Linked DNA regions of Arabidopsis thaliana. The protein of the gene in region 2 binds, or shares a complex with, the protein of the main gene of each other region. Each region holds a gene or a part of one and is shown on either strand. Other genes may lie near its edges.

Region 1 (10,407 bases), on a different chromosome or scaffold from region 2:
TCATCCATAAGAGAGAATGGTGTGGTCGACGCTACAATGTTGATTTATTGGTTGTGGTTTGCATCTTGGGGATGTCAAATCCTAAGTTTCAAGTTCTTGTAAAAACGTTTTCAGGTTTCTTTAATATATTTTAATATTAATGTAAAAAGAAAAGATATAGCTTTTGTACAAAAAAATTTGTTTAATCACTATGTAGGAGGATGCGATCAAATTCATGGAATGATGTATTATTAGCTTTTCTATCCTCACTCTAAAAACAATACTATAGTGAGTTAAATAATTTGATCATTTCAATGTAGATTAAAATTTTATTAAAAGAAGAAAAATTTAAAAGCCTATAACAAAATAAAAAAGGAGGCTCGAGGTATGATGGGTGTAGCAGAAGAGCTGGCAACAGCTATCGACTGAGTGATTACGAACTCAGTACTCAGTGTTCTCAGCTCACACACTCTTTTTTTGTTCTCTTTCTTTTGGACAGCTTTCATTTTCTCTTTTCTTTTTTCTATTTTGTTTCAAAATTCCATCCATATTAAAATAGGCCTGATCATGAGAATAAAGGAAATACTAATGATGAGTTTCTCAATAATGCAATAAGATGCAATTATTATGAGCTATTTACTATTGAAAATGAGCAAATAAATGTCAAAACACAATCTGGTTAAGTTAGAGCAACTCCATTGTATAGGATTCATGTAGTTTCTAAGAAAACAAAATGTATTAATATTTTACTTTTACATCCAAAAAACCAACTTATATGAGTAATAGAAACGATCCTAATATTAGGAATTTTAGAGATTTTCTCTCATCTGTTTCTTAACTTTTCAATATTTTTATTTTTTAAAATTGTATGAGTTTCTACTAAGAAACTACTGCTGGAGTTGGTCTTAGCTTCCCAATGCTTCTCCACCTATATATATGCATATCTCCTTCTTAAAACTCATCTCACACCAAAACACAAAGCTCTCATCTTCTTTTAGTTTCCAAACTCACCCCCACAACTTTCATTTCTATCAACCAAACCCAAATGGGTCCAAGTTCGAGCCTCACCACCATCGTGGCGACTGTTCTTCTTGTGACATTGTTCGGTTCGGCCTACGCAAGCAACTTCTTCGACGAGTTTGACCTCACTTGGGGTGACCACAGAGGCAAAATCTTCAACGGAGGAAATATGCTGTCTTTGTCGCTGGACCAGGTTTCCGGGTCAGGTTTCAAATCCAAAAAAGAGTATTTGTTCGGTCGGATCGATATGCAGCTCAAACTTGTCGCCGGAAACTCGGCCGGCACCGTCACTGCTTACTACGTAGCGTTTTCAAACTCACACTCACTCATAATGTTGCTAAAACTGAAGAGACTCTTTTCTAAATTTGTTTGAACGTACATGTTTGCAGTTGTCTTCACAAGGAGCAACACATGACGAGATAGACTTTGAGTTTCTAGGTAACGAGACAGGGAAGCCTTATGTTCTTCACACCAATGTCTTTGCTCAAGGGAAAGGAGACAGAGAGCAACAGTTTTATCTCTGGTTCGACCCAACCAAGAACTTCCACACTTACTCCATTGTCTGGAGACCCCAACACATCATGTAAACATCCATCGATCTATTTTCTCTAACAATAAGTGAAAGACGTAGATCTTGACTCTCTTGTTCTTGTCTCTGCAGATTCTTGGTGGACAATTTACCCATTAGAGTGTTCAACAATGCAGAGAAGCTCGGCGTTCCTTTCCCAAAGAGTCAACCCATGAGGATCTACTCTAGCCTGTGGAATGCAGACGATTGGGCCACGAGAGGTGGTCTAGTCAAGACTGACTGGTCCAAGGCTCCTTTCACAGCTTACTACAGAGGATTCAACGCTGCGGCTTGCACAGCCTCTTCAGGATGTGACCCTAAATTCAAGAGTTCTTTTGGTGATGGTAAATTGCAAGTGGCAACCGAGCTCAATGCTTATGGCAGGAGGAGACTCAGATGGGTTCAGAAATACTTCATGATCTATAATTATTGCTCTGATCTCAAAAGGTTCCCTCGTGGATTCCCTCCAGAATGCAAGAAGTCCAGAGTCTGATGAACACATATTACCTCATATTTCTCTGCTTGTTTGATGCAATTCTTAAATTCCTCTGTTATTCCATTGTACATTGTCAAGATCAATAAAGCATTCCTGGTTTCAAAATATAAAACAACTGAAATTAAACCTTTAAAGAGACTACTATTGTCTTTCACTTACCAATAAAGGACAATCAGAAAAATATGGAGACATAAGAATCAACAAGTCTAATGCATAGGTACCTCTAATGTTTTCGTTTCAGTTCTTTGACCTACAACTACAAGTACCTAGATGAACAAGCTCTGTGTAAACAAGTCAAATACGCTTAAACCCTATATACATGACTTTGTTACTAACTGATTAACACTAACAGCTAAACTCAGCTAACAAAAGTTGAGTTTCTTGCTCATTCTTTGGATCAGCTAGTGGCGTCTCAACGTTGTTAGAGCATGTATCTAAATCTGTAACTTCATTTGATGCCCCTTTAGCCTCAATAGCTGAAGCATTCTCCTCTATATTCTTCTGAGGATCTGTATGCGTGGTTTCAGGAGTTCCTAGAAGAACAATGAAAGAAAAGAGACATCAATTTCTAAGGCTACCAATTCTGACTTTATAATTTCAATACAAGCTAATATCATGCATTTATACTATCTTACAATTTACCAAGCCACAGAAGACAGTATTATTATCTGACTAGTACTGACATTGAATTATACCGTGTGCTAAACATGAATATAAAGAGACTAACCATGATTATCCTCTGAGTTCTCTTTGAGATATGAAAGCATTCTTCTGTAATTTACAGAACCTGGCACTTTAAATAGCTTGCGCCGGCAGCACAGCTGTTTCATGTCACAACAGGGAAAATGTCAAAAACAGATTCTTAAATAAGGAACAAGACTGCAGCTTCTTAAAAAAAAACAGATCATACAGAAATTTTGTTGCCACTGGATGAAGTCATCTTCTTGAAAGGGCTATTGTTTCCATGAGCTTTAACAAAGCTATTGGCAGATACGGTTTCAGGAAGTCGGTAATTTGCTGCCATCAATTCACCTCTTTCATCCTTAGGATCTTTTGCATCACCATCTCGGGTAACATCTGCAGCTTCCATCAAGTAAGGAAGCATTCTTCTATAGCTCACAGAGCCAGGGTTCTTGAAAATCTTTTCCGGATGACGAATCTGTATACATATCACAAGAAGAAAATTAAGCAACCAACGAAAAGCCAATATTGTAGTTTAAACGCATCATTTGCTATAAAACCATGAGTAAAAAACATACCACTTTGCTGCCGAGATTGGTACCAACTTTCTTCCCAGAGACCTCACTGATCTCTTGATTGATAGAACCTGCTTCATTTTTCACCAAAGAAAGCTCACCGGTGAACATTCCTAAATCCGGTGGCGTCGTTTGTGAGCATTCCACTACTTCTAAATCACCTCCAGTAGCCACTAATCCATCAACAAGATATTTGCTTCCTTCTCTCATAACTGTTTTCACCATTGTGTAATCATTATAGTTTCTAAACAGATATTGAAATTTCCTAATTCCACCTTCATTATATCAACATTCTCCTAAATTTTCTTAGAAAAACTTGTACAAGAAAAAGACCTTAAAATAAGAATTACCATTAGAATTCGGAGTATCGCAAGGAGATTCCACATTTAGCTCCTTGGTTAGATTTCCCCCTTTCACATGAAAGTCCCAATCACTAGAGATGGAACTAGGAGAGAATACGCGTCTGAGACACAGATTCTTCACGGTGACACGAGAACAAGTTCGGGGCATTTGAGTAACAATTTTCCCTTTGATCGGTGACGCATGATGGTGACGAAGATCCGTGACAATGTGAGACAATGGGGATGCAAATCGAACGGAGGAACGATTGCTCTGAGTTCGTAATTTGCTTGCCATAAGGTTCTGAGAGGTAGTATAACGAACTGAAGAAGACGAAAATCGCATCTTCTTCCTCAATATAGGATCTGATTCGGCCATGGTAGAACTCGCGCCAAGAGAGAGCTACAGAGAGAGAGAGAGAGTGTGTGTGAGAGTGAGAGAGACTGTTTGTTATTTTGGCGGGAACAGACCGGGTGGCTTTATGATGTTTGGCGGGAAACTAAGGCTTAGTGGGCTTGGCCCATTTATCCTCTTGTGTTTGGTCAATTTTTTGGTCGGTTTAAGTAAACCGTATTGAAAAGATTATTAAAACCTGTAAATCTCACAGAATTTATTTTTCTTTTCCCTGGAGTGGTTTTGGGAGTAGAATTGTCATCTTCGCAAAAGCTTCGAGAGTAGTGCAATCGAAACAAGTCATGGATCTTTCGCCTGTTAAGGAAGCTTTGGCCGCCAAATCCTTTGACAAAATCGCCGATATCTGCGATACTCTCATGCTTCAGGTTCGTAATTTCTCTCGCTGTCGTTGTTTCTGATGTTCATTAGGGTTTTGTGAAGTGGATTTTGTGGTGTTAATCGTTCGATTTATCGCTTCTTAATTTTTTTTATAGGTTGCTTCCGAAGGAATTGAATATCATGATGATTGGCCTTACGCAATCCATCTTCTGGGTTACTTTTACGTTGACGATTGGTGAGTTTATTTTCTTCTTTGATGTATTTGTTTGCGTTGTGAACCTAAAGTTAGTTCCTTTATGAAATTAGAGATTGTTTCGTTGAACTCTTGTGAATTTTAGCGCGTCAAAGTTGTTCTTACTACTTCGATTGCTAGGTCCTAGGTTGAATCTAAGGTCTAAAGTCTGCTTTTTACATTACCTTGTTTCTATCCAGTGATTTGAAAAATTAAAACTTGACACAAGTTAGTAGTTGTTGAGACCCATTTAACATTTTTTTCCTTTGTGTATTGATAGTGAGTGTAGTATGTTGAAACTATTGAGTTATGGTTGTGCCTTCTTGACTATGGATTTGGTTTTGATGTTTTGCTGTGCTTGTTTGGAAATACTGCAGTGATAGCGCACGTTTCCTCTGGAAAAGGATACCTACAGCTATCAAGGAGAGGAAGCCTGAAGTTGTTGCAGCTTGGGGGATTGGTCAGAAGCTGTGGACACACGACTATGCAGGTGTATATGAAGCTATTCGGGGTTATGATTGGAGTCAAGAAGCTAAAGATATGGTTGCTGCCTTCTCAGGTAAATTTTTTCTCTGTTTATGACTTCTTAGCTAGTATGAATTGGTTTCTTGAACTAAGCTTGTTGATTGCTTATGTAGTTGTGTACTTTTATTACTTCATATCCCTCTTTAGGTTTTGAGCTTTGATATACATATTGAGATCGAATAGTTGTTTTATTGTTTTAACTTGTGAGGCCTAGTTTAGGATTTCTGTTATGCACAGAACCACCTTTCATCTTATCATTGAACTATTGGAACTCGAATTTGAATCAAATTTCATCAATGTATGTGCCTTATCACTTCTTCATTAGAAAGTAGTTGCTTCTGTGGTCTAACTGAGAGAGAGGTAGGTAGACTCACACAGGAGGAACGAGTAAGCAGTTGACAGACTTTTCCAACCAAATGTCTAAACGTTGATCTGAATTTTGTGAAGTTGTACCTTTTTCCACATCAATTGTTCAACACCTGACCTTTATGGGTCACTTTCCATCAGATTCTAATTCTATTTCTGAATTGGTTTTGTTGTAGATCTTTACACAAAAAGGATGTTTCAGCTTTTGTTGTCTGCCTACTCCACAATTACCATCCATGATTTAGCTCTTTTCCTAGGGATGACGGAGGATGATGCCACAACTTGTAAGCTTCTTTCTGCAATTTCCTTTGCTTACAAAAGATTAAGTACCTCATTTCACATTTCTATTGAATTCTACTGAATTGATTCTTATATTGATACTTTTGAAAAATGTCGAAGAGTTTGTGGCAATGTCTTAGCTTAGTGTTATTGTAGGCATGAATCTTATGACAACCATATATGTTACGGAATCAGAATTAACAGTATAATTGTTTTCTTTATTGCTGGATATATACACAGATGTTGTAGAGAATGGATGGACAGTGGATGCAGCTTCTCAAATGGCGAGTGTGAAGAAACAAGCTGTTAAAAGAGAGCAAAAGGTGGATTCATCGAAGCTACAACGCTTGACGGAGTATGTGTTCCACCTTGAACATTAAAACTAAGTGCCGATCTCCTATTAAGATAGTGAAATTCTAAGAACAGAATTCGTTTTTGAGAGATTTCACAATGACTGATTCTAAGTTGCAACATATCTTGACTCTTTGAGTATATGATGAATAACTCCTACCAATTTTACTCTTATAAGATCAGTTTACACCAACAGGCGAACTAAAACAAACATTTAAAAGATCAGTTTACACAAAAGACGAACTGAAACAAACAAAAGATGAAGTCAATATTATGAGCCAAAAAGGACACAGCCTAAATAACACACGTTTTCAGAACAAAATTAGGCAGAAACAAGAGAAGATCATTTTAGCGACTATAACAAGCTAGCCAATCTCTGAGATAAAAGATGATAATCTTCAAACCGGAGAGGTACTCTAGAAGAATAGGAGCCATTTGTCGATCTAGTAGATGACAAGCTGGGGTTATCAGAGATTAATAATTCTTAATTTATTATTAAATTATCGATAAATGAACAATTTTAAATTTATTGAGAGATTTTACTATTCTTTTATAATTTTTAAAACTGGTTTATGTGAAAAGCAGTTTTTGTAGTTATAATCAACATCCTTTTAAAAATAATGAAAAATATAAAAAGTAAATAATTATTAAGTCTAGAAAACAAAAAGAAAAAAAAATTGATACTGTAGAAATATTAGAAATAAACTCTTCAAAAGATTAATACAAATTTTAAAAAACAAATATTAGTAGGAGTAATAGTTAGAAATACTCAAATGTAAACATAAATTTGTATTAATCTTTTATGTTTACGATAGGTTTTGGTGAATCGATAATTTGTTCATATTCCCTATCCCGTGTGTTTTTTGTTCATATTTTACTCTGTTATATCAAAAACCTAAAGCCTAGATAGTCTCATTTCTCAAGACTGATCCTTTTGTTAAAATCATTTACGCTTTGTGACTTGTGAAGAAGAAGATACATGCATCCTCTGCGCGAGTGAAAAAAATCTCACCTCTCAGTTTAGATTTTCCCACCAATCTAAAGACTGAGAAGGAAGACTTGTTGGTCCCAAATCATTTGTAATTGAATATAATAGTAACAAATTCAAGTTTAAGAAACTCTAAAATGTCTGTTTTAAAAAAGTGAACATGTCAAATTGAAAATCAATTATATAAAATCAAATGACATGCATTTTGGTTGAAAGAAAAACAAACTTCTCCATAAAAAGCCCAAAAACAAGCTAAAAAGAAAGCCATAAACTAAAAGTCTAGGGTTTTGGCGACATTTGTGGGTTTCTAGGGTTTTGGCGACATTCGTAGGTCTCTAATTCGGCGAGAGCACATGTCGCAGTTTTCAGACTCTAGTGATGACGATTCTTCAGGCACCATCCCAGATTTGAGGGTTGATTCTCTGGTTGAAACCTTGAAAACTCTTCTGATGAAAAAAAACTGAAACACTGGCCATGAAGCTTCTTCAGGTCGTTCAAAATTTCATTTTAAATCTGCAAATATGTTTGTTTATGAGTTTTTATATAATATATCTGTTTTACTGTCTATGTAATGTGTGAATCTGTATTTTTTTTTTTTATCTTTTGTTGATATAAAATATATGGATTCCCGTTTTTTGAGTCCACCACTAGAGACTAAGAGTATCTCCAACAAACACTTAAACCCTCAAATTTGAAGGTTTTTTGAACTCCAATAAACCCTCAAACCCTTATTTTTTAAAGGTCACACCCTCAAAAAAATTTTCTATTTCATTTTCGTCCTTATAATTTATATATTTTATAGATAGTTATATTCAAGAGTATTTATAATAAATGACTATAGATTTGAAAAGAATGTACAAACTAACCTTGAGTCACAGTATCTTCTCGGAAACATGTTGGAGAACACGTGTAATTACGTAAATGTCCTTTGTAACATGTTATTTTTCCGAAATACAGGCGATAACATAATATCCTCTTTTTATCTTGTTATTTTCTCTTATTACATAGTATTTGTAAAAAACACATGATATTTTTTGGAAAAAACATTCTATTCAGTTTAATATCTCTTTTTATCATGATATTTTGTAGTAATACACGTTTTTTATTAAGATCACACGTGATTTCTTTAAAAATATATTCTTATTTTTTAGTAATACATGGTTTTTATTAAAATCACATATAATTTTTATTTTTTAAGATTCTGTTCATGTAAAAGAATTTCATAATAATGTTTTTTCTTAAAAATTCATAACGTTTTTTGAAATAGCATGTTTTTAAACTAAATATAACATGTGAAATTTTAATGTTACATGCTATTTTGAAAAATTACACGGATGTGTTTCGTTTACTGTTCATCTTACAACAAATGAAGGGTAGCTTTGTTATTTCCTTTTTTCCGACAACGTGGGTCCATGGTTATTTTGTAACAAAAAACTTTCTCTCTGCTAGTTTCTTAATTTGTATGTTTTATTTGGTTATCTACTAATATTACCCTATATTCAATTCAATTATATTAAATATATCCATATAATTAAAATACATTAAAATTAAAATTAAAATTATTAAAATATAAAATATATTATATTTCAAAACAAAGTTTATACAACAATGATATTACATTGAGCAATTTAACACACATTAACATTATCATTTCAATAATAAAATTATACATGAAATACACGAGTTTTATTTTATGTTTCTTTTTTAATTTATATATAATTTTGTAGTAACATGTAAAGTTTTGTTTCTCTAATATTGTTTGACATTATTTTTTTGAAATGTATGTTTTAAATTTTTTTATGAAGTTTTATCATTAGAACAAATGATTGTCAATATTGAGGGTGTGTTATTGGAGTAAGTGACCATCAAACCCTTATTTTGAAGGTTTGACATCTTTAAATTTGAGGACTTTTTGAACTCCAACAAACCCTTATTTTTTGTGGGTGTGAATAGTGTACCTTCAAATTTGAGTGTGCACTACTCACACCCTCAAAATCTTTTCAAAATTTCATTTTAGTCCTCATACTTATTTTTTTTTTAAATAATTCTATTACATTTAATTTTTACAAGTATATTCATATAAATTCAAATATAAAAAACATAACATTTAAAAACAAATTTATACAACAATAATATTACATTGAGCATATATGGGAGCATTATAGACATAACTACATTGAATAATTTTATAATTTTACATCTAATTTTATAAATTTTTTTATGTTTTATGTTGTGTTTATTTTCTAATTCATATATAATTTATTTTTTTTTTGGTGAGGATATATAATTTTGTATTGTCATGTAAATTTTTGTTTTTGTATATTATTTAACATGATTATTTTTATAGTATGTTTTATATATATTTTATGAAACTTTAACTTTTATCATTATAAGTAATTGTTGTTACAGTACTATGAAAGACTATAATGAAAATTCAAAAAAATTTAAATGTAAATTTGAGGGTGTACAGAGGCAAATGTCACGGAGACACGGAGGAACAGAGGGTCAGTTGATCTTTTGGAGCATTTATGAGATCGAGTCAGGCTTGAATATCCACACCTCTCGGAAACCAATTATGAGATCCCTCGTAACACGAGAGACACTCAACCGGTGATTGGAAATAAGAGTTACGAACTCGCGCTCCATCTTGATGGAAGACTCGGTTTCTGCAAAAGCAGAGCCAATATCTCCCGTCCTGGAGTCAATGTTACACTCAATGCGGCTAACTACCGCTCTCAGCTAGGTGTCGTAGAAGTAAGCAGTCTCTCTAAACGAATGATTTGCTACCCTACTCTCGAATCAGCCTTCGCAAGCACATGGATTTGTGCCCGCAAGACCGAATGGTCTCAGACCGCCTACGCCGAAGCTGTCCGCTATGCACATGATCTAGGTATGGACTTTACAACAGTCGTCCTAGACGTTAAAGTTGGTTCCTCCTTGTGGCTATTCGCTCCTATGATCTCTGATGATCTCTTCTCTCTCCGATGCCCACTCCCCGAGGACAACTACACTGTTACCGGTGCCGTCGTCCAAATGTTATTCCATAAGGCCGCCGCGAACAACGCCGTCTCAGAAATCTTCAATCTCGCTTCTATACCAGATGCTGACTACGGAAGCTTCATTCCTGGACCCCGCGAAGGATTCAACCTCTCAGCCTATTATGCCATCTCCAATGAAGGCAGCGATGAAGTTTCGAAATCTGCCGTTTAAAACTAGTGATCTCTTGTTTTACTACGGACCCTCTGATAATATGTGACTCTCTTTTAATTCTTTACT
Region 2 (10,738 bases):
CAAATGATGCTCTTGAACAAATTGTGCAACTTGTCACCAATGACAACCTGGATTTGGGTTGTGCTGCTATTGAACAGGCTGCTACAGAAAAGGTTTGTGTCAGATATTAGATCTCGGACTTTATTTCTGTTTCAGCTGATTGAATCAAATAACCGAAGTAGGTTTCCCTGGAGTGTAGGCACTTCCGTTTACCAGAGGGTTAATTTCTTCTAGTTACTAATTTTTATGTCCGTGTCACTACAGGCAATACAAACAATTGATGCGGACATTGCTCAACAATTGTTGTTACGGAGAAAGCATAGAGATGGTGCTGGATCCTCCTTTTTCGATCCAAACATTCTATCACAGAATTCCGTCAGTTTTATACCCGAATCCCTCCGTCCAAAACCTGGACACCTCTCCCTGTCTCAGCAGAGAGTTTATGAGGTACTGTTTTTAACAGGTAGCCTCTGGTATGTTCTGTGTTTGTATGACTAAACAAGATGTGTGCATTTTCAGGACTTTGTTCAACATCCTTGGCAAAAGCAGTCGACCCAAACTTCACACGGTTTATCTGCTGCATCAAGCTCATCTGGTGATGTTGCGCTTGGTAGTGGTTATGGTCCAGTATCAGGAAAAGTTGCTTCTGAATTTTTGTCTAATGCTGGAAACGCTCGGATGGACATGGTCTCCCGGCCATCAGATATTTCTGTGGATGGTTTTGAATCTTCTCCAGTCTCACTTTTGAGGTGCTTAGTTGTAAAGCAGATCGATAAAACTGCTCTCATTTCTATTCGTATATTTCACAGCTGAATGTTGACATATCATTTTACCTGTCTTAAAGCTCACAAGTCGATCCAGCTGGTGACTCATCCAGTCTTCAATTTACTAAGTCACTACCAACCTCTGAATTGAATCTGGCTGAATCCTCTGACGCTGCTACGAAAGTGAGATATACTGTGTTTTCAAATGATTACTCGCTTAGGTTTATAATGAATTACTAAGCTGTGCTTATTTATATACAAGGAAACTGGAACATCACTGCAGACATTGACTTCAGCTGCTACCATGGAACGACTTGGTGCTAGTAATATTACACAGCCTTCACTGTCCACGAGAGATGCACTGGATAAATGTCAAATTGTTACTCAGAAGGTTACTAAAGTGGTTATCCTGTGTTTTCCTTGCTGCATTTTTTTTTTGCTGCTTTATATGTGAGAAACTTCTTGAAACTGTTTCAGATGGAGGAATTAGTGGCTAATAATGCAGGAGATGATGAAATCCAGGTATTTGATTTCCTAGTGCCTAGGTGGTTATAGTGCAGAATTGTTATCCATTTACGTGCACCTAGAATAAATGAAATTAGAAGTTAATTTTGAAAACCTTCTCTAACTTTTGGAAATGGTTTCTGTGTTTTCCAATTGATGCCTATTTTCTTCTATCCAGTATGAATTCAATAACTAATGCAGATCTCATTGATTTTTCAGGCCGTAATTTCTGAAGTTCCTGAAATCATCCTCAGATGTATAAGCAGAGATGAAGCCGCTTTTGCTGTCGCTCAAAAAGCTTTCAAGGCTCTTTACGAGAATGCATCAAGTAACCTTCACGTCAGTGCTAACCTAGCAATACTTGTTGCTATCCGTGATGTTTGCAAGCGTGTTGTTAAAGAGCTCACTAGTTGGGTATGTTTACAACCTTTTCAAGATTTCACTTCGCTGATGTGCTTTGTTCAGTTACTTCTCCATTAATTTGTCACTATTTCTGTCAGAACACATAGGATAACACATATCATATAAGTGCTAGGTCGAGTCTGTTTCCTGTAGTTGGAGCCTATCCTCAACTGGTTATAGATACTAGATTTGTTTCTTTGGTATTTTTAGTTATAATTAATTATCTTTCTTCAAACTTTTGACACAGGTGATTTATTCAGAGGAGGATCGGAAGCTCAACAAAGATATTACTATTGGTCTTATCCAGCGTGAGTTGCTTAGCCTAGCGGAGTACAATGTCCACATGGCGAAGCATCTTGATGGAGGGAGAAACAGTATGCTGAATTGCTTAACCTTTGTTGATGTCCTTGTGTGGTAACATTCTTTTTTTGTTTTGGCTAGTGAACTTGTTTTAACAAGTTGTTTGTTACGCAGAGACCGCAACTGACTTTGCTATTTCTCTACTCCAATCCTTGGTCACTGAGGAGTCGAGTGTCATTTCAGAGCTCCACAGTCTTGTTGATGCGCTGGCAAAGGTTGCAATTTTAACATTCTTCTGCGTTTGTTGTTGCAGTCGCATATTCTTGTTCTATTATATAAAAAAACAGTTAATAGGTGTGAAAACATACAACTAGGGAAGGGATAGGTTCAATTTTTTTTTTTTGTGGTTAAATCTACTGCATAACACTGTTTATCATATAATGCCAACTGACAAGTATTGTGGTTAGGTTCAAATATTATGAAATTTGGCATTGTTATATTTGGTGACGCTGCAATTTGTATTCTTGTTTTGGTTGTAGCTTGCCTCAAAATCCGGATCTTCTGAGTCATTGCAACAGCTAATTGACATCATACGAAATCCAGTTACTAACACAGCTGGCCTCTCTGATAGTTCAACCGGAAATGATAACAACGATAGGCAAAAGGATGAGAAGGTGTCAGATGTCTTCATTACCGAATGTTGCCTGTAATCAGACTGTAAATGTATATTTGACATGTTAGCTTTTTCTTAGGTTGCGTGCAACACCACTAACACAGAAGAGAGTACCAGCTTGGATTATGTGGAATCAGATCCTGCGGGTTTCCAGAATCGGGTAATTGTCTGCATGTTATTAGCGTTTATGAACTTCTATATTGATTTAGAGCTCTACCTTTTCTTTTTTAAAAGTTGATTGGGAATTGCATATATCTAAATTTTTCACTTGCAAAAGAGTAAATCAAAAGCTAAAATGTTTGTATCAGCACAATGAATTTGCAAGCTACAAAAAGGATTTCAAAACAAACGTTTCTATGAAGCTATTTTCGTTCAGTATGCATGTTTTTTTCCTTATTTTTGTCTTGTAGATGGATTTTAAATTTTCACTTTAATTCGATGTATTTAGATACATGTGTTTGTAGTTTGTTATCTCTTCAGTTTTATGTTTGAACATACATCTCTCGTACTTCTTGTTTATATCTTGTTTTTGTCTTCCTCTGTATGGTTTGGCAGGTGTCCACGCTATTTAAAAACTGGTATCAAATCTGCGAACTTCCTGGTGCAAATGAAACCGCATGTTCACAATATGTCCTGCATTTGCACCAGACTGGATTACTTAAGGGAGATGATACAACAGAGAGTTTTTTCCGAATTCTTCTGGTGATTTTACCTTTTAAGAATGTTTTAGCATCAGCACTTTCAAATCTTGAGAGGCATCATTATTGATTTTGGCTTTCCTTTCTGTAGGAACTTTCTGTTGCTCATTGTATATCTTCTGAAGATATTAATTCCGGTGCTGTGCAATCTCCTCAGCAACCTCAGAGTCCATCATTCCTTATCATTGATATGTATGCAAAGCTTGTTTTTTCAATATTGAAGGTAGAGTGCTCATTTTTTTTTTTGCATTCTTCGTGGATAATTATACCCAAAATACATTGCCGGCTAAGCTTTTTTTGTTTTGTTTGTTTCTTATGACAATCTGTTCAGTATTTCCCTGAGCAGGAGTCTAGCAGTAGGTTATTTCTTCTTTCAGAGGTAAGGGGACACATACTCTTATTGGAAATAAATCTAACTTCTACTATAATGGATGGAAAAGGTGAGTGGTATTGATTACCTGTTTCAGATCATGGCTGACACAGTGAGATTTATTCAAAAGGACGCAGAAGATAAAAAGACATCACTCAATTCTAAACCATATTTCCGATTGTTCATCAACTGGCTACTGGACTTGTGTTCCCTGGATCCTGGGACGGATGGTGCAAACTTTCAGGTGCATTTTGTTGTCCTTGAAGTAGCTGCTATTAATTGTTATCACTTTAATTAATCTTTTGTTGCAGGTTCTCACAGCTTTTGCCAACGCCTTCCACGCATTGCAGCCTCTTAAGATTCCTGCTTTCAGGTTAGGACACAAACCTATTTCTCACCGTGCTTCTATTAAAACTTAAAAATTTGAATCTCTCAGGAAATTTGAGGGCAGTCAAATACCTATGTTGTCAAACATTTCATGTTGTTGACATATGTATCTTCTTTTCTTTGATCTGTGATCCGTGTTTTATACATTTTTTTTCTTCTCCACTGAGGTTTTTATAAATTTTTCCAGTTTTGCATGGCTAGAACTTGTCAGCCACAGAAGCTTCATGCCCAAACTACTTACAGTAAATGGCCAGAAGGGTTGGCCATATGTTCAGCGCCTGCTGGTGGACTTGCTTCAGTTTCTTGAGCCATTTTTAAGAAATGCTGAACTCGGAGGACCGGTTTGTGCCTTTTTCTCTTCTGTAATTGTTTTGCATTGGACACTAAAGGATATAGTCGATGGTAACTTAAAGTGGTCTCTTTTTTGGTGTGTTTATTAATTGCGTAGGTTCATTTCCTATACAAAGGGACATTGAGAGTATTACTGGTTCTGCTTCATGATTTCCCAGAGTTCCTATGTGATTATCATTTTACTTTCTGTGATGTGATTCCTTCAAGTTGCATACAAATGCGGAATATTATCCTCAGTTCTTTTCCACGGAACATGAGGCTTCCTGATCCTTCTACCCCAAATTTAAAGGTACGAGATGATAGTGGAGATTCCAGCATGTTCAACATATTTTAAAGAAAATATATTCCTTGTAGGCTGAATTATCGTGTTCATTGCAGATTGATTTGTTACCTGAGATAGTAGAAGCTCCCTGTATCCTTTCTGAGGTTGATGCTGCGCTAAAGGCAAAGCAAATGAAGAATGACGTGGATGAGTATCTTACGGTAATGGGAACACCTGATTCTTCAATTTACTTATATTCACTTTGGTATTCTTGAGATTATATCAAGAGATACTCATATAATTTTTCTGCAGTCGAGGCAGCAAAATTCAACTTTCCTAAGTGAGTTGAAGACAAAGTTACTTCTATCGTCCAGCGAGGCTAGTTCAGCTGGAACCCGTTACAGTGTACCATTGATCAACTCGCTTGTGCTATATACTGGAATGCAGGTATGGGTCTAATTTCTATACAGCCTTTTCTTTTGATTTCTAGTTTATTATATATATATATATGCAAATAACCGACATTGCGATAACAGGCTATTCAGCAGCTTCAGGCCGGTGAGACACAGGCTCAAAATGTTGTGGCCTTGCAGATGTTCAAGTATTTAAGTATGGAACTTGATACGGAAGGGCGGTATCTGTTCCTTAATGCAATCGCCAATCAGCTTCGATACCCCAACAACCACACTCATTACTTTTCTTTCATCATGCTCTATCTATTCTTCGAATCTGATCAGGTGAGTTTGCTTTGCTTGTCAAGAGTTGTGTGGAAAAATTAGTGAGCATGGAAATCTGATTTTTTTTTTCTTTTTCTTGGGATGAATGAAACAGGAGATCATACAGGAGCAAATAACTAGAGTGCTGTTGGAACGGCTAATTGTGAACAGGCCACATCCATGGGGACTTCTAATCACATTCATTGAGCTAATAAAGAACCCAAGATATAGCTTCTGGAAACAAGCCTTCATCAGATGTGCGCCTGAGATTGAGAAGCTGTTTGAATCGGTAGCCAGATCCTGTGGTGGCCTGAAGCCTGTCGACGAGGGAATGGTTTCGGGAGGTTGGGTCTCAGACAATTCTCACTAGCTCTTTAGCTTTCAACTTGTATATATGTATGCGTATTTTGATATTATGTTGTAACAATTATACATACAGTAGGAGAGATTTTAGGAGTCTTAGTTTATTTATTTAACTTCAAGATTCACAAACATGTTTTCTAATTACAAAAAAAAAAAACACTATTATTCCTTTATCCTTGCTCTTAAGGGTCTGTTTGAGAATTAGTTAGGTGAAAACATGTTTGAGAAATCGGCGGGGATTGTGTTTTCATGGTCATAAAACATGACCATAAACACTGAAAGAGATTATGATTATGCTGAGGGAGTGTGAGAAATCGGCAGGGATTGTCATCATATAGTACTAGACTACTAGTACTTTGTATAACGTTCTCAGGAACATGTTTCGGTCAGAATTCCGATGGTGGGATCTAGTCGATGACGTAATAAACAACACTTTCATGCCCGCCTAAGAGGCAGCTGTCGCAGACTAAGCAGGTTTCAACATGTGAGGGGCCAAGGCGCTGGCTAGTGGTCAAAAGACGGAACACTGAGAATATCTGTATCATTCCATATGATCCAAGCGCCTAGCTTTGCTCAAGTGTCAAGACTATTGATTACTGAATACTAAATTCAAAGCCATTTTTCTTTTAATGGGCAGAGAGACACCAAATTTGCTAATGAGGGAAATCAAACATAACAAGGGGTTATTGTGAGAGAGAACAGAGGATCTTATACAAGTTGAAAATCCGCAACCAAATAATCATAATCTACTCTCGGTAAATGGAATGTCAATCCGCACTGACCATTTGCTCTCTCTTGCTCCTCTACCTTGTTACAGGATGCCTCCTCCTGCGTTCCAAAGTTGAATGTGTGTATGTTATATCATCTCCTTTGTACTTATCATCTCACTCATATCTAATATTCGTTACCTCTTTGGTCGGATCCCATCTTCTTCGTAGTCCATCACTCCACTTGGTTCCCCAAACATCTCCTTATTCCCTCTGATGTCAACATCCCCCTGCCCACAACGTAAGTAAGACTATATCGACCACCACCCTTCCCAATCATATTTCAGACACAAAAAACCAAACGAACCTTGTTTCATTTCATTTAACAATCAGACAATAACCAAGTACTACCATTCCAAACAATTCATGTCCTCTAATGACTTTAACACTTCACTAACAGCCGTTGTGATTGCGTTCCTTGTTTGTTTTTAATTAAAGAAAACTTCATAATATATGTTTACATCCAACATGTAAGATTTCTTGTTCCACGAAAGAACGGTTAAAAAAGCCCGCCACAGTTGGCTGATCGATTCGTTTGTTATTAAGAAACATAACTTTTTAATCTATGATAGGACTGGACTTGGAAAGCTCAAAGACCTAGAAAGATTTTTTTATCAAGTCTCTCCCATCCCCGCTTACATAGACCTAAGCTATTAATAAGAAGAAACCCACTACAATTCTCTGAAGAAATATAAGACAGAATAGCTGACTGGACTCTAACTCATGGTCACAAGACAGTAACCAAGAAAGAATGTAACCAATATTAGTTACATAATATACTTAGTAGGGAAAAGTGAAGCCAATAGGACTCCAAGCGCGACTGACCTTCATGGACAGAGACTTCTTCACTTCTTCCACCCCTTCTTCTGCTTCCTTACGATGTTTTTTGTCCATCTCACTCATATTGTCCGCCCATTTGATCTTGTCTTGAATTGAAATGAGCAGATTCTCTGACGTGTTCAACCTAGACATCAATTTGGGCCAACACATAAAAGAGTAGGACGTCATTAGCCATGTATTCTAACATCACGTACAAGTTCTTATAATTAGATATAGAAGGCAAAAAATCCTGGATCTAAGGGAAGAAGAAAACTACCAGTTGGACAATGTGTGTAACATATTCCCTAGTTGACCTGGCCTTAGATCCCTACCAGCTGCAAACGGAACCTGCATGGTTGCAAGAGATATATGATGTTTAGAAGGGGGGGCTCGTACGTTTAGAAACAAAGCACAATGGTTAAAATAGGAAAAGGAGGCCCAAACCAAAACACACCTCAAAACATCTTTTTAACTGATCCAGTTTTCCCCTAACTATACCCTGCAAAGTGTAAAAGAAAAAAAATGAGCACCATGCGTTGTCACAGTTAGTTGTCAAATAGAGATTAGAAGACTGCTAAAGAGTACTCACCGCATACATGCATTCATTGATAAGAAAGTCCTCGAGTTCGCGAACATTGGAAACATCTAACTCGACCATTAGTGTATCATAGGGCAATACCTATAACAAGCAGAGTGAGAGAGACATTCAGTTAGGCAAACAGCAGGGGAAAAAGATAATGGAACAGAGTAGATAGCAGGAGCAAATCATGAACCTAAGACAAATATACCTTGTTAGACTCAGCAAGGGTGAGGACAGTGAGCTGCTTAAGCTTAAGAATTTGGTCAGGGGACAAGTGCGGAAGACGGGTGGCATTGCCTAGTGTTTCGATGAAAGCAAGTCAAGAGGAGAGAATATGACAAAAGGGAAAACGAATTGAAATAGCATATGACAAAGGGGTCATACATTTGTAGTCTCCCCAGGTGCCATGGGCAAACAAGCGTAGTAGATCCAGGTACACAGAATCTGTGGTTCCTTCAAGCTGCACAATTACGATTAATCAGCTACTAGTATCTATCAAGTTGTTATGATCAGCGAAGAACAAAAGCATGTAAAACCCTAGATCGTGAAAAGCATAAAGTAGTAGTACCTGGGCAACATTGGGTAGAGCCAAAATCTCGGAGAAGGCGAAGAGAGAAGGATGCGATGTGGCTTCGATGATGAGCGGGCCCAGAGCCTCGGATTTGCAAGTAGAAGCTCGCTTCACGAGCTGATCAATGATCTCGGCTTGCTTCTGCTCGATATCCATCTTCCAAACAAATCGATTTCCGGTGGTTTAGGGTTTTCTTTCTTACCACACTAATAACGAATAAAATCCCAAACTTCTTCTCTCTGCTCCTTCCTTCTTCCGTTTTTATATTACTGTTTTTTTTATGTGACCGACCGAATTCTTCTAGAATCTTGTTTAATAATTGGGCTCAAATTTCGTAGTTTCTGGGCCAAGGCCTACTAAGAGAAATATTAGAAACCGCGTCTGGTGAGCCCAAACAATCCCGGGGAAGAGAGAGACTATTGAATATTCTTCTTCCTTCATTTTGGCTGAGAGAGCGACGACGATGGCGGAATCTCGCAGCAACAGAGCGGCGGTTCAGGCTACTAACGACGATGCATCCGCCAGTAAATTGTACGCCTACCTCTTTCTCTCTTCTTTAATTAGGGCTCTTCTTTTTTTTTTGTTGTTGTTGTGGATCTTTGAGCCTAGATAATATTTTTAAAGGTCTTGTGTCAAAAAGGGATATATGAAAGACGACTATGTTCATCTCTTTGTGAAAAGACCTGTTCGAAGATCTCCCATCATTAATCGAGGTTACTTTTCCCGTTGGGCTGCCTTCCGAAAGCTTATGTCTCAGTTTCTTCTAAGCGGGACAAGTTCTAAGAAACAGATACTGTCTCTCGGAGCTGGCTTTGATACTACCTATTTTCAGTTGCTGGTGCGTCTTCTTTTTCTTCTCCTTTTTGTTAGCTTTTACCAAATTCACCATTCTTCGGCTTATTCCAGGGATCTCTCGCTTCTTCTCTTCTCATTTTGTAGGATGAGGGGAATGGGCCCAATCTCTATGTGGAACTTGATTTTAAGGAGGTACTACTGGATGAGCGTGCTGACAAAAGTATCCATCATGTGTTTTGAGTCTAATGCCTAAATGGATTTGCTTCTTACGTTAGGTGACTAGCAAGAAGGCTGCTGTTATACAAAACTCCAGCCAACTCAGGGACAAACTAGGAGCCAATGCATCTATTTCTATTGGTAAGAGCCTTTTTTCCCCCCATGTATTATTATGTAGAATGATCCTTTTCATTATGATGCATTTCAGCTTGTGCACTCATATTTTTCTTCATTCCGCTTCTACTAGCTACTAACTCAACCACCCCCTTTTACTTTGTACCGTTAGCGTCTAGTTTCAGTTGCTTACTCTTAACTCGTTGGGCTGTTTATCTCTACAGACGAAGGACAAGTTCTCAGTGATCATTACAAGTTACTTCCAGTTGACCTGCGCGATATACCAAAATTAAGAGATGTTATATCCTTTGCAGATATGGATCTAAGGTATCCATGAATAATTTTTATTTATTTTACACACTGTTATCTTGAACCTTCAACCCTCTTCTTCTACCCGGGTTTAAGATATATGGTAACAGATACTTACTGGTGATAGACCTACTTGATCCCTAATATCATTATCAGTCTGCCGACGTTTATTATTGCAGAATGTGTTTTGATTTATCTGGACCCCGATTCAAGCCGTGCCATCGTCAATTGGTCGTCAAAAACGTTTTCAACTGCAGTATTTTTCTTATATGAGCAGGTTAGCTCAACTGTGATTTTCCTTGTCTGCATAATATTGCAGATACGAATCTTATTGCTTATGTGTCTAACCCGTTGGGTTTCTGTTTGCAGATCCATCCAGATGATGCATTTGGGCATCAAATGATTAGAAATTTGGAGGTAAGAACGTGTACTCTACTACTCTAGTTACAGCGACATCTTCATTAGTAAAGCTTTTTTGAGATTTTTGTCAAAATATGGATACTAGTATGACACTAAAATATTCTAGTATTGCCACATGGGTTCATGTTGTACTGATCAATTACCTTCATTTAAACTTGTTCTGAAAGCTTAACGGTGTTTCTGTTCTTCAGAGTCGGGGATGTGCACTCTTAAGCATTGATGCATCACCAACTTTACTTGCAAAGGAGAGATTGTTTCTTGATAATGGATGGCAGGTTCGTTTTGCAGTTAGAATATTATGATTAAAGCAGGGCTAACTTTCATGTATAATTTCTGATATAAGGACTCTCATTTCTTTACCCTCTTCTTTATTCTGGT
Region 3 (10,588 bases), 7.7 Mb from region 2:
ATGCTTATGTGTGTGTGTGTATAATATATACACGTTCATGATGCTATGAGTTAGATCAAGAAAAAGGATAATTCTTAGTTACTACTACTATATATGGTTAGCTATATTTTCTATATACAAAGTTGGTTTTTTAGAAATTTGTGTGGTCAAGTATTGGAATTAATAATAACCTTAATATTAATAGTTGGTGATAGATGTTAATGGACCATTATGTCGATCATCAAAGTGATAGTGATGATGATGGTGAATGTGTTAGGAGGAGGAGGCAGGATTAACAATATGAGAGTGATGATGAGCACAATGCAGACTGGTTTTGGACCACCTCCACCACCACAACCACCCACCTTCACTCACTATCCCCATCTCCCTCTCAATCTCTTTGGGTACACTCTTCTATTTCCCTCTTTTTTCATGTAATGATGATGATGATGATAGTACATGCATGCATCAAACATAACATGATACCATTTGAGACCAAAAGAATGCCAACTCATATTTGTCTATTAAACTGAACAATGCAATTGCATTACATAGCTGGCTGTCCTCTAATGTTTCCATTTTCTTTGTGGACCGACACTATTATTATTATCAGTAATAGATCGATTAATTTTCACAGTCTATAGAGAGATTTAAATGACTGACAAAGTGGTCAACGGACAGCTTGTAAAACTAAAAATTATACTGATTCCATCTTTCACCAATCATTTTACTCTCTCATCACATGCTTCCTCCTGTCTCATGACCACGTGCCACGTGCATTCATATTTGTTGTCACTCTTAAAGTGTAATTTGTTTTGTAAAAGCAAAAAACATTGATTTGATATTCGCAGGTACTCTCCATACTCGCCAGACTACTCATCATTCCCTACGGTCCGTAACTTTTTCCTTCTCTGACATAAGTGTTTGTATAACGAACTTAAGAATCTTTCTCTGTCTCAACGAATCTTTACTTGTTCATGATCATATATTCATATAGCATAGCCTTAATCTAATACTAATACGATGTGCTACAGAACTTATACGGCATGTACGGCTGCACTTCTGGAGGACAATACGGAGTCTATGGAAACAGAAACAGCGGAGGCGGTGGACTAACCGCAGCAGCCGCATCCGCTACTCCTTTTTATCCTTGTGGTGGAGGACATGGTGGGGTCCAGTTCTCTCAACCACAACCATTTTATCATCACTTGTCTTCTTATAACCCTCACCATTACTCTCCTCCGACCTTTTCTATGCAACAAGGTTCGTATATGATAATAGACATGTGTACACCAAAGGCAACAAAGATATACACATACACTAACATTGTTGGCAGTGTGTTTTGTTGTGCCACAGGCGTAACAGGCTTTCCGCTTCAACCACCTCTTATTCCTTACCGTTAAAGAAGCTTAGAGTCTTTGGTAGCTATCAAGCTTCATATCATCATCTTCTTCTTCTCAGGTCAAGAGCCATTCTATGGTTTAAAGGATGCTCCTGGCTAATCTCAGCACTTAGTTTCTCTCCCTCTGCTCTAAAAGCTACCCCATTTTATGGAATTTGGAGGTGGCTTTTTAAGCAGATCCCAATGGGATCTCCTGTTTCAGATGGTGATCATGTCGTATTTGTCATCTCTCACCTTCTTGCAATTGCATCTTCTCGAGAGAATGGGTTTCTCTTTGAGAGATATTGCTAATGGAGCATCATCATCATCAATCACTCATGTGCCAATCTCAAGCTGATGCATGTATCAGCTTAATTAGTTTATGTTGTTTTAGCCTAAGGATGGCTAATCAACAAGACAAAGAAAATGTCTGTTAGGATAATGTAAAAAAAAAATCAAGCACCAAAACAATTTTCTGTTTGAAAGACTGAAAAAACGATTGCATAATTAAGCAAAATGATCAGCACAAAACCCTGCAAGCCTTTTTGTTGCATCAACATGTTTAGTATCTTAATTCTTAAAGACTTAGTCACTTAAGTCCTCAAGTCTCAGATTATGTTTCTTAAATAAAAATGCATTACTCAAATGTCTCTGTTTACTGTTACTAGTGGTTAAAAACTTTGGGGAGTAACATCTCATAACCTCCTAGAATATACTATGCAACACATACAACTTCATGCTTTTCAGTTTTTGAATCTAGTATGTTCATAAGGATACTGGAAATATTCATACTGAACACTGTACTCACATCTCCTCATGTTCTCATGTTTCCCAATGTATGCTTCTCAGTCCAGTTTGACACCTTCTAGGGCTGAAAACATTAAGACGTGGTTGTGTGCTAGAGTCAACATCTTGCGAGAAAACATGTTGTAGCCCATCCATGTCACCTCTCAAGTCTGTCCTCTCATTATCTTGTAAGAAAACACTAGTGGAAAGAAACTCCCTTAATGAAAGCTTAATTACATACAATCTGCTGCTCCCATCAAACCATTGAGGTTGATGAAAATCGAGTCTAAGACACTACCCCCAAACACTGCTTCATGCCTTCCTCAATTGTATCATTTTAAAAATGTCTTATATCATATATTTCCTGGTGTCAAGCATGATGATATAGATGGAGTAGAGGAGTAGAGATAAGATCCTTGTTCAGGGCAGAGTAACAGTTGTGTCTGTGCAAATTAACAACCTAAGCTTGTGTTAACCAAGAAGCTTGAAACATGGACTAGAGAATATCTAAAATCCAAATGCATTTCGAGAAAATGCTAAAAGAACAAAAGTAGTGAAACAAATCACAATATATCAAAACTAATCTCCAGAATAAATTTTCATAATATCTTCTTTGATCATTTGGATCTTCTAGATCCCCAGAAAAGATAGAATGGCTTAAGCTTCGAACTCTCGGACCTTCTTGTTCTACCCAACTATACATTAGACAAGTATTAGGCCGTAAATAGGCCCATTTAGGGATACGCGAAGGCCCAAAAAGTCTTTGACATCATCATGTGGTTTCTTATTCTTGTTTTCCAGTAATGCTGGTTAAGTGAGGATGTCATTATTGATTAAGCCCCACGCAGCTTCTATCAATTACTACTACCTTACTCTTAATCCTACTCAAGTAACTTCACACGTTATCTCTTCCTACCGACTGTTTTCTCGGCCTGATGTTCGTTTAGTAGTCAGTTTGTTCGAATGCAGAAATCTTAATCCGCTTTTAGTACCCTTAAATCGTGGTCTTGTTGTAATGACAATTTCGGTTTTAGAATAGAATTTGTTCGCTTTTAACAAAAGAAATGCTGTTCAAACATAAATGTGAAAAACAACATCCTGATGAATTTCATGTGATGAAGAACAGAAAGAAAAGAGGGCCTAGAATCATTGTTGCTTCAATCGTTGGAGAACATTTGTATGCTTGTGTCAATTTTTTGCACATGGTTCCGTAACAGGCACATGATTACTGTGACATCACGTGTGTATCTGGAATTTGGTTTTTAATACCACTAAATCAAGATAGTCAAACGCAAAAACATAATGATCGATTTATGTTAATGTCATTTAATAACCCAAAGATCTTTGTCTGAAGCAGATACTACACTAGAGATATAGGGAACAATGGGCATTGCCTCATAAACCGGGTCAAACCGATAGTCAATTTCCGCAGCCAAAAAACAAAAGAATAGACCAACTTCACGATGTAATCATGGGCTCTGGATCTGATGAGTCGTCAGCAGACTTCTTGGACTGACGAGCGGAATTGAACAAGATGTCTTTGATAACCTGCACATTGATGGATGAAAGACTTTTTAAGTCAATTTCATGGATCCATTAACCGCAAGGGGAAATAGGATCAGCATTGTCAGATTGTATTTACTCACCTGTGACATTAGTCCATGGACCTGCTCGACAGTTATCTTTGCACTATCCCGAGTTATCTTCGCGAGTTGAGGCTCATCCTGAAAGTGGTCCACAACACATATACTTAGGTAATGTAATCTCCAAAACAAATGTTTTTATGTAAAGAAGATTAAAACAATATCAAAATGAGTCACACAGCCAGAGATAACAGAACTCTAGGAAGCAGACATAGACTATTGGCAACAACTCGTTGACAAATTGATACATCAAAGTCTCCCTGTTTTACTAGTTCAAACTTTAATAGCTCTGTATATTTTTGACTAAACATACACTCAATTGTGAAATTTCAAACCCAGAAAAGGTAAAACATAGTGTTTTGCAGGTAGAGTTTCTATTAGTCAATATCCAGTCAACATAATGCCTAAGAATAAAAAGTTCAAATTTAATCCAAGTTGCTAGATGTTGATAGTAGCAGTTAATTAGCCAAATGAAAAGTTTCTACACAGGAACAAGCTTGAAAAGTGGCAAGTGTATGAGCTCAAGATCATGGTCCAGTATCTCAGACAGTCAATAAACATTGAGAACATAACAAATAATTTTGCTAAAGCAACCATTTAGACAAACCTCTTTCCTCCTTTGGTGACCGGCTGGCGCAATTCCTCCATACCGGGAGTTAGCGAGCTGACTCTCCGCTTGCTCGAGCTTCTCAGCTTCATCATGTAAACAATTAAATGGTAAGAAAAGAGGATATATCAAACTACGACCTGGATGAAAAGTAAATTAACTTGCTCTTTCATATATACAAGAATTTACCCAAGTCTGATATTTGCCCGGCAACATAGTCTCCATTGCCCAACAGTGGGGAAGAAGAAAGAGTGTTCACCCAGTACTTGTTCCAAAGGAGATCCAGAAGGTGACTATCGAGAGATGACTTGAAATAAGTGATGTCCAATGAGTAGTACTGCCACATACAAAAAAAATGAATCATAAGATCGATGATTAAAACCCTCCCAAGTTTTAAAATCGATAAATAAGAATTATACATACCTGTTTGCAATGTACACCAAAGTCCTCAATCTTGTTAAGAGGGATAGTCTGATACTCAGAAACATGATCATCCGAGATCTTATGTCCCTCTGGATATGTTCTGAATGCCCCAATCTCAACCTTACCAGCCGAAACAGTCCTTGTTGGATCAATAACAACAGCTAAGAATGGCTCCTGATACTGTTGGTTAAGCATCTGTGTCGAAACATCAATACCCGAGAGCCAACATCCATACCCAGGGTGAGAGTGATACCATCCAACAACGTTCTCCAACCTCCCAGCCTATAGTTCAAAGTTACAGTCATAACCAATCAATCAAACACTCGCAAAATCTTGCATAAAGGATCCAAGTAGCAACTAGCTAATTAAACAAGGAGCTACAGCGAGAGATGAATAAGAGATATCTTACCAGCTTGCTGGTCTGAGAGTATTCAACCATATACTCATAGGCATCAGACTGAGCATTAACCCTAGTCTCAGTACCTTCAACAGGCAAAGCAAAAGCATCCATAACGATGATTGTATCACCCTCGGTTTTACCCTGCATAAGACCCATGATCTCGATTGTGCCACCGGAGCGAGCGTGAACCACCATCTTGAGAAGAGCAAGGGCTGAGATGTGAACGCGCTTGAAGTAGTTAGGATCGGAGGCCCATGGCTTCTCCTGCTGGATTTTGGCTTGTGAAGCGTCGTCGTAGTGGAATATACTGTCGGAGGCTGAATCGGTTGGTTCCACTGGGAGAATGTTGTTCTCTAGCTCCCATGTCTTCCTCGCGATGGCTGACGAGGAACCTTCCATTGAAATCGACTTCGAAGAGTAGAATAAATCTAGGGTTTTGCTTAATCGCGAGAATTGATTTGAGGGTTTGAGTCAGAAAGAAAGAAGAAGGCAAACAAATAGAGAGAGATCTTTGGGTTCTTGGGTTAAACCGGTTTGCGAGAACAAAACTCAAAATGGATTTACTTAATATGGGATTTGGGGACTAATGCTAATCCAAAACATTAACCATATAAAATTTTTATGGAAATTTAATATTGTACATTTTTTATTAAATATTTTTCCCTTTTTATTTTTAGTTTGTTTAACTTTTATAGAAATCAATGTTGGCAAATCAAAGGATAAATTCCAGTCATTGTATCAACCAATTGGTATAGAAATCAATGTTGGCAACACATAGATTTGGCATACAATATCTTAAATCACAAAGCGTAAAAGAAGAGTAATGCATCTCATGCATATTTCTTGAGATATCCACACATGCATAATTTCACCAATGTAGTAAGCTTATTTTGATAGCATGTTCAACTTATATATTGTGTGAATTATGCTTGACTTTATGGCATAGACGTTGATCTTTAGCTATAAAGTCAAGCTTTTGTCTTCTCATTCTATCATCGATCAAAGCATCTAAATCACTTTCCTCTCTTTTCTTCTCTTGTTTGTGTCAGAACTCAGAGAGTATAACATAAGGTTAGCTTTCGATCAGTTTTTTATTTTGAGTGTTGCGAATCAAAAGAAAAATTAGTTTTAGCATTAGACCTAAATATTTGTACAAGGACACAGTGTAATATTTGTAAAGCAATTAACATAGAACAAATAATGAAACACAACAATACTATAAAGATGTTTTGAGTTAAGGAGAGAGATCATCAAAGTGCTTGCTTAAATTTCTACCGTGTTGTTGTGTTTCATTACTTGCTTAAATGCTTAATGATAACTGCTTTAAAAATATTAGATTGTCTTCATGTACCAACATTCAGGTCCTACATCCAAAATATTATACAAGACAAAGAATTCACTACAATATAAATACGCTAAAATTTAAGAGCAGCCTCAATTATATGCATATACTAAGATTATGGCCGCCCCTGCTATGCTGATACAAAATAAATGCCAAATTACATCATATATCAAAATATTTTGGCAAAATAAAACATAATTGCCTTTAGTTGGATTTTGAAAAAAAAAATGGAAGATCTTCTGAGTTTGTGAGAAAGAAGAGCAATAAAGAAGAAGTTAATGCATCTGTTTGACTGTTACAATTACTTATAAAAAAAAAAGTGGAAGAAAGTTTAGAGGAGAGGATACATTTTGAGATCATGGGGAAGGAGTGGTTGCTAACAAAGTGGTAATAGAATTAGATTACGTGAAAGTATAAAAGTAAAATTTGAAAGTTTTGTGACATGTGGTAAATGTTGCTGTTTTTGAAAGTGTTGTCCCATTTGAAAGTTTTGTCACATTCGGTAAAATTTGAAAGTTTTGTTACATGCAGTTTTGAAAGTTTTGTCACATTCGGTAAAATTTGAAAGTTTTGTTACATGCAGTTTTTGTTAAAATGACGGTTAATTTAGAGGGGGGTGGGAGGGGGAGGGTAAGTAGTTATATGATTTTGATGATTTTGTAGAAGTGTATTCAATCTAGTATTTTAAGTGATTTGTGTAAAATTTATCAATCATGGATTTTAAAAACTCTATTAAAATCAAGTGTTATTGAACTAACGATTTTAAAATTTACTTTTAAATCAACTGTTATTGAAAACAAATCTCATGATTGTAGATGGAATTTGAAAAGATTGTACAATTAATCACATCAACTTTCTTAAAATTATAGAAATCTTTTCAAATTCTATCTAAAACCATGAGATTTGAATTTGTGTATTTGTAACTAAAGAAGTTTTCTCAAATCTTTCAAGATGAATAAGAATCAACTCCACAAACTGTTTTCAATAACAATTGATTTTAAAGTTAATTTTTAAATTATTAGTTTAATAACATTGGATTTCATTAAAGTTTTTAAAATCTATAATTAAATAACATAAAGTTTGTAAATTTTACACAAATAATTTAAACTACTAGATTAAATACACATCCTTTAGTATATATAGATTTGAGAAAGTGGATAACATTTTTTTTGTTGATGTCTAGCTTGAAACAATTCATACGCCCTCAGTTTCTATATCTTTATAAACTTGGTACAATTGATGACAAAAGTCCACAAAATAAGGGGTCATTGGAATTAAAGCGTTACAATCTTTATACCACGTGGTTGCAATATAAGGGTGACCAAGGTATTACTCAAAGGCTCAAAACTCGAATCTTTGAATAGTGACAAGTGGAATAACCTTTAAAGCCAAGTTGCTAAATATTTTTTCTTCCTTCTTCGATAAGTATTTAAATTTTTGTTATGTTCTCGTCCATAAATTGAGTGAATGATATTAGATAAGAGGTCCAAATCATGTATAAAATTTTAGAAAGCATTTAATCTCTCTCTTACATACCTATCAGAAATCGAATATGACCACTTTACTTCTTTTTTTCGTCGACCTTGACGATAAACGATTTATGACTACCTCTTTATCTTAATGATCTCAAACTCGCTTTAGGTCTTTCAACAATTATATGGCGTATCTTACTCATTTATAATGCAACAAATGTCAATTAAAAATCAACTTCAAATTACTATGGAATATCTCAAGGAAACTTATTGTAGAAATTTGGTGGAACTAGTAATCAAACTTGTTCATATAAATGCATTTGGCCTTTTGGGTTCGTTGTTGGTCTAGAGTTTAACGGTTTAGAGATTGTTTTAAGATTTTATTTCCCATGTACAATGAAAGTCTAATACAAATAAGTACTATAAACTAAGCGTTATGATCAGTAGATTATAATTTATATCCTACTATATTATTTGGGAAGTACATTTTAAATGTAACCTTAATTTTTGTAAGTAATTACATAGGTATGCCATTAGAAATAAAATTTTAAAGAGTAAATTAATTTATCTCTTTAAGGATTAAAAAGTCAAATACTAATTTAATTAATTAAATTTAATTAAAAAATGAAATATATTATTAATTTCCAAAAATAATAACCAATCAAAATCAACATATAAGATTTGATATCTAAATTTTAATTAATTTAATTTAATTAGAAAAACAAAATACATTATTAATTTCCAAAAAGTAACCAGTTAAAATCAACAAATTATGTTTGATATCTAAATTATCATATTAATTTTTTATTAATTATTATAGTTCACTTCTCATCGTTATATGATTCTATTTTTGCGGAAAAATAATATCATCATTATAAAAAAATAATTAGAGTTTTTTTGCATATGCCATAATTTGAATTTTTAAAAACAAATATAAACTGTTCAATACATGAAAAAATATTATAAGGGTAAAAAATAGATTTAAGAAAACTTTTTACTGAGTAACGGGTCATAATTTGAAATATTTATATTCAATTTCATACATATTATATTGAAAATTTATAATTTATATATACTACAATAATTAATAACATGTTAGATGTGATTCAATTTTTAATACAAGCTGGAAAATCCTAGAATTGACGGGTTTAGATCGATATTAATACAAGATAGTATACTACAGGTGAAACTCTTAAATTAACAATCAAACTACAAGTATATAATCTTAAACACTAAACAATATAGATAATATCAACAAAACGTATACAACTCACAGTTTACTATACATTTAAAATCAAATAAAATAATATTATATATTTTTTAATCATCTTTACAATAAAAGTTTTTAGTTTAACTAAAATATAAGCCTACATGCGGTATACTGCAGGTTAATATCTAGATTATAGAGCTTATTGGATCTAAAGACGGGTCATCAAAGATTTCCTAAACTGAAGCAAAATATACTAAATATTCAAATATCTATATGTTACCAAATTATAAACAAATAAGTCAATTTAATATTTTATATACAAAATCAATTAAATCTTAATCACATAAAAATTAGCACAAAAAAATGTATTCAACAATTAAAAATTTATCAAATCTCTGTGTTATATAAGTTTTGATACTATATTCAAATAAAGTGTAATATACCTTTTCAATTTGTATTCTTTAACTAATTTAAGCTAACTAATATATTTGCTAATCTTATATCTATCAAAACCGACTATCGTTTCTTATCTCTATATTATTTTTGCAAGATTTTTTTGGTGGATTTGGATAAAAGTGCATTCGGGTCATATGGTACATTCCCCTATTAAATAAATATGGTGCACTCCTATGTTATTAGCTAAAATATTTAGATTATAATTCAGAGTCATATCATTAATAAAATTAATATTAATAAAATAAATAGGTTTTTGGCAAGACGGATTTGGAGGGACGGGTTTTTGAATCAACATTAATAAAAAAGTAAAATATAATTAATCCACCGTTTCAATACGGGTTAAATCTTTAATTTATTATTTTTTAAGACCACTAATATTAAACATATCAAATCATCCTAATTTAGAAAAAATTATATAAAACCAAAAATGTTATGTAGTATGTATAATGTTACTATATATAAAATTAAACTATAAAATATAAATGTACTAGAGAATGATACAATTTGCAAAACTTTTATATATGAAAAATAATTCTTAAATTTTAAAAATTACTACTTTAAAAAAAAATCACGGGACGGGTAAAGAAATTACAGAACGTGTTTTATTTTGGAATTGGGTTATATGGTGGATGTATTTGAATCAATATTTATAAAATTTTAAAATATTATTAATATGCTGTTTTAATAGGAATTAAAAACTTCAGTTTTTTAACAATTGTCTCATGAATTCGTGGTATAGTTTTACTTAATAACAATTATAAACTGTAAAATATAAATATTTTATAAAAATAAAATTTTCAAGTTTTAATATATATTACTTTGAAAAAATAAATCATCCCGCCGGTTAAAATCTAGTTTCATGTATAATAATCTTACGAATAAATATATA

What was found.
Region 1: FUS5 (region 2) and COP9 share a complex: the UniProt entries of both Arabidopsis thaliana proteins name them as parts of the CSN complex.
Region 3: FUS5 (region 2) and CSN5A share a complex: the UniProt entries of both Arabidopsis thaliana proteins name them as parts of the CSN complex.

What each region holds. Positions count from the first base shown.
Region 1 is NC_003075.7:8,128,814-8,139,220, reverse strand, and holds COP9 (COP9 signalosome, subunit CSN8), read left to right. Parts: upstream 1-4,232; 5' UTR 4,233-4,353; coding exon 4,354-4,437; intron 4,438-4,545; coding exon 4,546-4,625; intron 4,626-4,999; coding exon 5,000-5,181; intron 5,182-5,689; coding exon 5,690-5,797; intron 5,798-6,032; coding exon 6,033-6,172; 3' UTR 6,173-6,341; downstream 6,342-10,407. Other genes in the region: XTH15 (xyloglucan endotransglucosylase/hydrolase 15), read left to right, coding at 1,025-1,300, 1,389-1,582, 1,661-2,060; AT4G14120 (uncharacterized protein), read right to left, coding at 2,409-2,596, 2,791-2,884, 2,974-3,222, 3,323-3,531, 3,670-4,036; AT4G14105 (uncharacterized protein), read left to right, coding at 9,545-9,745; AT4G14104 (capsid-like protein), read left to right, coding at 9,907-10,341. UniProt on the Arabidopsis thaliana protein: Component of the COP9 signalosome complex (CSN), a complex involved in various cellular and developmental processes such as photomorphogenesis and auxin and jasmonate responses.
Region 2 is NC_003070.9:380,907-391,644, forward strand, and holds FUS5 (Proteasome component (PCI) domain protein), read right to left. Parts: upstream 8,903-10,738; 5' UTR 8,663-8,902; coding exon 8,504-8,662; intron 8,396-8,503; coding exon 8,320-8,395; intron 8,233-8,319; coding exon 8,144-8,232; intron 8,035-8,143; coding exon 7,945-8,034; intron 7,855-7,944; coding exon 7,810-7,854; intron 7,704-7,809; coding exon 7,633-7,703; intron 7,501-7,632; coding exon 7,362-7,500; coding exon of another isoform or gene 7,317-7,361; exon of another isoform or gene 6,767-7,316; coding exon 6,678-6,766; intron 6,598-6,677; coding exon 6,573-6,597; 3' UTR 6,371-6,572; downstream 1-6,370. Other genes in the region: AT1G02080 (transcription regulator), read left to right, coding at 1-92, 244-426, 499-728, 824-926, 1,006-1,134, 1,221-1,265, 1,467-1,661, 1,897-2,023 and 14 more; SBI1 (Leucine carboxyl methyltransferase), read left to right, coding at 8,970-9,037, 9,131-9,344, 9,446-9,493, 9,577-9,658, 9,856-9,958, 10,097-10,217, 10,310-10,357, 10,552-10,635. UniProt on the Arabidopsis thaliana protein: Component of the COP9 signalosome complex (CSN), a complex involved in various cellular and developmental processes such as photomorphogenesis and auxin and jasmonate responses.
Region 3 is NC_003070.9:8,106,278-8,116,865, forward strand, and holds CSN5A (COP9 signalosome 5A), read right to left. Parts: upstream 5,785-10,588; 5' UTR 5,619-5,784; coding exon 5,229-5,618; intron 5,102-5,228; coding exon 4,820-5,101; intron 4,734-4,819; coding exon 4,586-4,733; intron 4,483-4,585; coding exon 4,397-4,482; intron 3,871-4,396; coding exon 3,793-3,870; coding exon of another isoform or gene 3,721-3,792; exon of another isoform or gene 3,695-3,720; coding exon 3,605-3,694; 3' UTR 3,297-3,604; downstream 1-3,296. Other genes in the region: AT1G22910 (RNA-binding (RRM/RBD/RNP motifs) family protein), read left to right, coding at 257-383, 831-870, 1,014-1,246, 1,336-1,672. UniProt on the Arabidopsis thaliana protein: Probable protease subunit of the COP9 signalosome complex (CSN), a complex involved in various cellular and developmental processes such as photomorphogenesis and auxin and jasmonate responses.